Linked DNA regions of Neurospora crassa OR74A. The protein of the gene in region 2 purifies or fractionates together with the protein of the main gene of each other region. This does not show direct contact. Links are inferred from orthologs where the notes say so. Each region holds a gene or a part of one and is shown on either strand. Other genes may lie near its edges.

Region 1 (3,901 bases), on a different chromosome or scaffold from region 2:
TCATTGTGCCTCCACAATATGGTACTCTGAGCCACGGTCTGTGGTTGTGGCCGGTTGGGTTGCATGAGAGCTGTCCGCTAATTCCATCACCCGCATCTTAGACCCACTCATATGAAGCAGCTTTATCATCTCTCCAACGCTCCGATAAAGATCTGGAAGCCTCTTCCCAACGGCGACCATAACTCGAGTGTCCTCGAAGAAGGCTACTTTGAAGCCATCGCAGAATTCATCCAAAGGGTTTCCTCAGGAGACCCCGAAAAGAAATAGCTCGATTCGACAACGAAATCCGCGCCGTCGCTCTCTCCTCATTCCATACGGTAAATGGGTCTTTCTGTTGAAGGGGAGGCATATGATGTGCCCACGATCTTGATGACGCGAAAGCGTCCACGATTACGAGCTGTTGGGGGACAGCGAAGCACAAGTACGACAACCACGACCTTGGTGGCTTGATGCTTGAAGATGGGTCGGAACTTGAGGCTTTCATTGAGGTGTCATATTTTCTCTTTCGCACCTCGTGTATGTATTTCATGACCCTTTGGACCTATGTCGAGGTTGCTCGGGTCTTGATTAAGACCCAAACGGGACGAGACTCGATATTAATCAAGCAAGAGAAGTTTTTGTAGAGTAAATACCAAATATTAATATCGGACAAGGAATAATTCAATTTCATACTTGAACATATGTGCATTAGCTTGTCAAAAGTTCCTGACCTTTTGAGAATATGTCGGATCATTCAATCATTAGGCTATGTACGAAAACAGGCTCTCTCTCCTGGCAATATGCTTGCTGCATATACAATTATCCCTAAACCGCAGTTGTTGACTGTTCGCTCCTTGTCATGTGCAAATACTACCCAAAATCTGTTCTCGAGAGGACGTTGTAAGACTCCTGCTTTTTGTCATATCTCCCGTATATTAAGTATTTTGTCCCCCCCGACCGCCAGAAAAGGACTGCTCTAAGCAACCCTCAATGGCAGAATATGCTGTACCATCGTCTCACGTCTGCACAACGGACACTCAGGCTTCTCGCGCACCCAGTCTCCAATACACGACCAGCAGAAGACATGTCCGCACTGGGTCGCCGCCGGGTCCTTCAGCTCTTCCAAGCAAAGCGTGCACATCCTCTGCTGTCTCCCCTTGATCCAGCCCATGACCTCCTCATTCGCCGCCAAGTCGTAGTTCGCCCTCCCGCCCTTGGGCACAGGGGTGTGCGTCGTCCGTCCAATCTCCGCCAAACTACGCTGGTTACCCGACTTGCCCGTCTCCACCAGCAACTCGTTATTGCTGCTATAGGCATTCTCATCTAACGACACATCCAGTGTGCCCGCAGCGCCCGGCCCAAAGGCGCGCTCCCGAATGCTCGCCTCGGTACTGGCCTCCTCGGCACTAAGCGGCGAAGTTGACGACAGCTGCGCCGTCACATGCAGGTATCCCCGGACGAGCATCTGCACCACCAGCAGCACGCCGAGCACTTCATAGCCCGCGCGACCGCCTTGACCCTCCTCGATGCGCCGCGTGAACACATAACGCAGCCCGAAGAGGCGCTTGGAGAAAGAGTAGTAAGCACCCGAAAAGTAGAATACGGCCAGCGTCAAGGCGTGCAGGTGCGCGCCGCTGGTGATGGAAGTCAGGTGTGTGAGCAGGTAGCGCTTCACGCGGTACTCAAGCGTTGACACTGTGGAGAAACCACCGCCCTTGTTGTTGGAGGTAGATGGGGTGGCGCCCTTGGTGTCGCCGCGGCCCTGGCGGGCAAGCACGGTGAGACGGTCCTGGAGGCGCTTGCGGAGCGCGGCGCGGATGGAGGGCAGCAGGCGGCTGAAAAGGTAGGGGACAAGAACGCTACTAACGATGTAGCCGGCTCGTCGCTGGAGCGAGGGCAGACGGGGGCCACCGGCTTCGCTGCTGGGCTCGACGGGGCTTTGGGTGTCTGGTATCCTGCCGTTGCCGCCCGTACTCGGCTCTTCGACTTGGACTAGGTCGCAGTACTCCTCGCCTAAGGTGCGGTTGCCGAGGAGGGTGGTGAGGCATAGGTAGAGCAGGTCGGCAGCCGTACGGGTTTCGGTGGCCCAGGAGTGGGCGGAGCGGGCACCGCGAACGCGCCGGTGAAGGTCGGTCAGCTGGTTAGTGAGGACGCCCTGGAAATAGGCATCTTTTTGATGCGCGCGGATAATGTCGGGGGCTGCAGCGAATGGATATGGCGAGCTCGTGAGCGGCGGAGGAGGCTTCTTGGTGGCCGTCAATGACATGGTAATTGATGTCGTCGTTTGGGTCGGGTCGGGTGGGCTCGAAGTCGGGGGGGTCAAAAGCTGTGTTTACACGGTCGACGTATTCAGGGGGAACTCTCGAACCCTAGGAGAGCTCGTATGCCTACAGTCGAATCGTCGAAGCTGTGGCAGTGGATGATTAAGTCTTTTCGATCTGAAATTATCCGAGTTGTTGTTTGATGTTTCGAGATCGACAGGCGGCAGTTGAAGCTGAGATGAAAGTGGTAGTCGGGAACGGATGGACCTCGGTCCTTGGGGTTAATGGGGGCAGCACGCCCGGCGCCGCCCCAGGCGTGGTTCCTCCTCACAAGGAGCGAGCTGAGGAATTGGCAGGGGGGTGCCCAGAACGTCGTAGCCCAGGCTTTAGCGGCAGGGATGATGCAGCGGGTTGTCACAGGACGGGGCCGCGACCAGGGGTTGCACTGACGTCGGGTCTTCTCCCTAAGCCAAAAAGAGTGCACGCGACAGGGGCTTGGCAACTCCGGTGTCTTTGCGACAGCTACCACAATACAGATGAAATTAAAATTTCCATCTTGACACTTGACAAACTCCAAACGCGTTACTGCTGGGAATTTGATCCCAAGCCTATCAACTCTTCTTTGCGTCCAACTGTTACTTCTCCCTCTCCGCATTCCATGACGGACAGCAAATTGACCGCTGCCTGGCGCAATGGACGGTGATCCCGTGGTTGAGCCGGAGCTCGACTCCTTCAGCTTGACCTTTCCCCTTCCCTACCGGGTTGCCTTCATCGTGATCATAGGTATGTATATACAAGTTTCCTACCGTATGTTTGCTCTCTGGATACACGGTTGTAAACTGACTATCTCTGGTTGATTAGCTGTTTGGGGCTGGGGCCTCAACCTTCACTTCCTCCATAATCGCAAGATCGACGTCCCCTCCTTAATCCGGTACCCAGGAAGATCGAGCCCAACCCAGCTCCCTCACCACCACTCGACATACCGTCTTGCGACTCTTCTTTCGCTAAGCTCCGCTGTTTCGATTCTCACATTTTGGTCGTTTACCAGGCGCGATCCAAAACGCGTTATCGACTATGACTGGATTCCCATGACCAACTTGGCAGTGACCGCAGCCCTCTTCGTGCTACCCCTGCGAAGACTGTCTGTTTCGCACTCCGGTCGACGTCGACTACTCGCAACTCTGCGCCGCGTCAGTGTGGGAGGTTTGGCTGAGGCCAAGGATGGAAAGTTTGGGGATATCTTGCTGGCTGATGTTCTCACCAGCTACGCCAAGGTCCTTGGGGACCTGTTCATATGTCTCTGCATGTTCTTCACGCGGAATGGGTCTGCTACTGACCGACCCGATCGCAGCTGCGGCGGCACCTATCTCGTACCACTTCTCCTGACGATACCAAGCGCTATTCGGCTGCGCCAGTGTCTTATCGAATATCTGCGCGTGCGAAATTCCCCTTTCAAGGAGTCCACGGGCTGGGGTGGACAACATCTCGCCAACGCGGCCAAGTACTCGACCGCGTTTCCTGTTATCATTCTAAACGCCATGTTGCGTAACGCAAACACCAGCGGTACCCCAACTACGAGCCTGTACCGTGCATGGATTGTTGCGTGTCTGCTCAACTCACTCTACAGCTTTTACTGGGACGTTGCCAAGGATTGGGATCTC
Region 2 (4,030 bases):
AATATCCCCTTCGGGTTTGGGCGAGACGAAGGCGCTATGAGAACATTGGCACAGGAAGAAAGGGATGATGGGTGGGGTCAATGTTTGGTTCCAAGCAAGCATTGCCCGATCAAGTAATAGCTACGAGGACTATTAGATGCGATTGGAAACTGAACCATGGCACGAAGGTGTATGTACCTTGAACCCGGGATGTCTTAACAGAGAATATTCCGCATCCGACCTCTCGGGTACGCATATGCTACGCTGAGGTAATGATTTGGCAGCGACATCAATACCTACACTACAATGTATCCTTTAGTTCTCTACAGAGGCCGCGGTGTTCTGACTGTACCGATGTGGCTGAAAGTCCTGAATAGAGGGCGACATAACCAAAGCCAGTTGTCCCTCTTTGACCGTTTGCGCATCTCTATTCGATCATGGCTTTTTTTTTTTTTTGCCCCTCCCCTCCAGTTTTTTTGGGTGGCTGAGGACAATAACCAAAAATTTGTCTCGGCAATGCCATAGCAGCGGTCAAAATAGTGAGGCAGAAATACTGGGCGGTCAGGTGTACGGGATGTCTCAGATCAATTCACGGCCTAACCTTATAAGATGTGAAAATGGTAGCTTTTGATATCATGCTCTAGGAAAATGCCATGCAACGTCCGCGCTTAAAGACCTTGCAGAAATACAAACGCGCTATCATGGAAAGGGGACTGAATGAGGTTGTCCCATGCTTCACAAGTGCTCCTGTGTATTGTCCTGCTTGAACAACGTACAGGAGCTTTATTACTATACAGAAAACCAGAGGGAGTCGCTCACTTTGGCCTTATGCTCATGCCGATTAATGTATCCAGGTTTCCCAGTTCCGGTGCTATTTTATCTTTGTGCCTGACTGGAGAACAGCTTTTTAAGCGGCTTCGTCGCCTCCGTTGCTGCTTGAGCCATCGTTTGTAGTACCGTTCGTGACTCCGACAGTCGAAGCCGACGCGGTTTTGTTGGCCATGGCCAACTGCCAAGCAGGGATAGTCGGCTTGCCTGCAGAGGCAATTCCGCTGCTGAAAGGCGAAGGCTTGGGGGCAGCAGGTTGAGCGAACTGCTGTTCCTGCTGGTATCTGGATTGCTCATCCTGCGCACTCGCGGCTCTGCTGTTTAAGTCTCCGTTCTCACCGCCGAGGGCTGGCGTGGCAGGGGCTGAAGAAGGAGTGGCGTTTCCGTTAGTATTGGGGCGAAGGTAGTTGTTGACGCTCGTCGAGGTGGCGGTTGGGTTCATGCGTTGCGAGATGAGGGTCTTGAGGCTCTTGAGTTCGGTATTGAGTTCGCGCAGCCTGTTGTCGGTCAAGTCCTTCTGGTTGTTGAGTGCCCTTGGAATCGAGTCCCTGAGATTTTGCACATCGTCCCGTACTCTCTGTGCTTCGTCGTCTCTGCGTCTGTTGGCTGCCTTGAGGTCCCTGACGACAGTCTCCAGCTCCTCGAGGGCATTGTCGAGTCTCTCTGTCCTTTCCTGCTCCGAGGCCTTGAGGATTTCGGTATCCTTGGCCAGCTGCTCAACCAGTTGGAATGTTTTGTCGAATTGTTCGTCGATGGACTTCTTGTCCTGCTCGAGACGCTCCGGCGTGGGAGGAGCAATCAAAGGATACACATAGCGCTGCCGAACGGTTAGAATTTCCTTTTATGTACATTGCACGGTGTTCGGCGGCCTACCTTGCCGAGATTGTATAGGCCGTACGACGCGCCTCCGACTACGGTCGCCAAAATGAACAGGTCCCTCCAGTCCCGCCTGACACCGTCGGTATTCGATTGCGGCCATGCGTATGGGGGATAGCCATAGTACTGCGGAGAGCCACCCTGTGCTGCGACGGGTCCGGCCGACTGCGCATAGGCGGGCGACTGGGCGTACGGTGGCGGTGGACCTCCTGATTCGGCGCGGGCGAGAGCAGCGCTGACTTCTTCCTGGGTGAGGTTCTTTGCTTGGAGAAAGGCTATCCGCTTCTCGATTGGCGAGGCGGCGACACTGGGGTCTTGAAGAACTGTGGTGTTGTTGTCGGGTGAGATTCTGGCCTGGCAATGTAGAGGAGGTAGCAGGGGACAAGACAGGGGCAGAACATACACTGCGCCGCCGAAGCGACCAGGTCCTCGCGGATGGCCATGACTGATGTTGTTTGATCGAAATGCGGCAGATGGCGTTCCCTTGTTGAGACTGGGCAGACGAGAGGAAAGAAGCAGACAGCTGAAACAGTCGCGACGCGATGGCAGACGGCGGCGGTTGATGGAATGATTATCGAAGGACGGGAGGCTGAATGCGATAGATGAAGTGGAAACGAACTGACTGGCAGCGGTTCGGGGGATGGCTGGGCCGCTGGATGGAGTCCTGAAGCCGAGGTTCACGGGACCGGGGGCCTGATTGTACACTAGACGTGGACTGCTAATAGCACCTTAACAGCTTCGCATCACTTGCACCCCCAGCACACTCGTGGAGGCATGCTGATCAGATAAATCACTATCTCCTCCCCTGACTCTCCTTTTCCTCCGACAGGCCTAGAGCGCAGCTGAGCATCCATTCCATGCAGTGACTGGCTCAGAGACGGGAGTGCAGAGCTGAAAAAGCACTGACCTGAAGCGAGCCAACACTCACCCTCAAGGTCGCTTTTGGACCCACTCCCGTCATTCACCTGCCGTCCCGATGCTTGGGGACGAGAACTGGAGTGCACTTGGCACTGTTCAGCCCAATGATTTCCACAGCCCCACCCACGTCGCCTTTCTTTTGTTTACTCTTCCTGACGGAGCAACCTCCCCCACCATCCGCAGAAGTCGACAACCTAGTCCCGTCTACACTACGGTGTCTTAATCTACCTACATACCTATGCTGGCCTGCATTAGGTTGCTGGCCGTACACGTACTTTTATCGCTACGACACGACGAAATCCGCGACTGCGGTTATGCATTGATTTCTGTCAGAGCCGCGAACACGTACCCACATTAACTCGAGCGCATACCTTAGCTCTACAAAGCTATCCGACATAATCACCACCAAGAGAATCATCGCCGACATCGATCCGACACAGTTGCACGTAGTGTAACACTCTTTTGTTCGCTTGCTTATATATTATCACGGAAACCACGCGACTAGGACGGCAAAAGGGAGGCGCACATTGACGAGGCCTTTGCCGTCATGTCGCAAGACAGCAACGCAGGCCTTTGGAGTGTTCGACGGCCAAGGGAGGTGCGACTTCCCCCCGTGACTTTCTTTGCGGCGTGTTTCCTCGGTCGAAACCTCTCCCCATCCGACGCGACCATGCACGATATTGACTCTGCTCTCTCTGTAGACTCTCCATGGCGTCAACCTCACGTCGGGCATTCCGGCACCACCCTCCACACTTAAGCGACAAAGCACCATCGGCACAATAGGAACGGGCCATGGTCGCTCTCTGTCGGGGAGGCAATCTCTGGCCCTCCCGCGACCGAGCCAACCTCTGTTCCAGCGATCCTCCGACATTGGCCTGGGCTCGGTAAAGCGCGCGTCGGTTCATAACATGAACACGTCGCAGTTCAAGCCCTATGGCACCCCAGGCAGTTCCGGTATTCCTCGATCATCGCAAGAACTCGACCGGCGAAGCAGCGTCTACCGCCCAAGCGCACGACCGTCGGCCGTCGGCGGAGGTCCCTTAGCTGGTGGGCATATGAGCTTCTTCCAGCAAGCGCCCCAGCCCGCCGGCGTGCCTCGCGATCCGCGCCCCCTCAAAGACCGTCAATTCCAAAATCGCATTGGCCAGGAGTTGCTCGAGTACCTCGCCAAGAACAATTTCGAGATGGAGATGAACCACAAGCTGTCCGACAACTTCACAAAGTCGCCGACACAGAAGGACTTCAACTACTTGTTTCAATGGCTTTACCACAGGATAGACCCGAGTTACCGGTTTCAGAAGAATATCGACCAGGAGGTACCACCATTACTCAAACAACTGCGATACCCATACGAGAAGAGCATCACCAAGAGCCAAATCGCCGCGGTCGGAGGTCAGAATTGGAGCACCTTCTTGGGATTACTGCACTG

The links. The genes of interacting proteins can lie anywhere in the genome.
Region 1: the proteins of pex14 (region 2) and pex10 purify together in Saccharomyces cerevisiae (affinity purification with mass spectrometry; 4 studies listed by BioGRID, with this or other methods). This does not show direct contact. The link is inferred for Neurospora crassa OR74A from reciprocal best matches to the Saccharomyces cerevisiae genes PEX14 and PEX10.

What each region holds. Positions count from the first base shown.
Region 1 is NC_026501.1:5,159,005-5,162,905, forward strand, and holds pex10 (RING-1), read right to left. Parts: upstream 2,519-3,901; 5' UTR 2,246-2,518; coding exon 956-2,245; 3' UTR 622-955; downstream 1-621. Other genes in the region: bem46 family protein, read left to right, coding at 102-267; NCU03278 (protein-ER retention protein), read left to right, coding at 2,933-3,023, 3,102-3,901. UniProt on the Saccharomyces cerevisiae protein: E3 ubiquitin-protein ligase component of a retrotranslocation channel required for peroxisome organization by mediating export of the PEX5 receptor from peroxisomes to the cytosol, thereby promoting PEX5 recycling.
Region 2 is NC_026506.1:2,097,980-2,102,009, reverse strand, and holds pex14 (peroxisomal membrane anchor protein), read right to left. Parts: upstream 2,541-4,030; 5' UTR 2,127-2,540; coding exon 2,087-2,126; intron 2,007-2,086; coding exon 1,681-2,006; intron 1,625-1,680; coding exon 887-1,624; 3' UTR 525-886; downstream 1-524. Other genes in the region: NCU03899 (HEC/Ndc80p family protein), read left to right, coding at 3,149-3,199, 3,303-4,030. UniProt on the Saccharomyces cerevisiae protein: Component of the PEX13-PEX14 docking complex, a translocon channel that specifically mediates the import of peroxisomal cargo proteins bound to PEX5 or PEX21 receptors.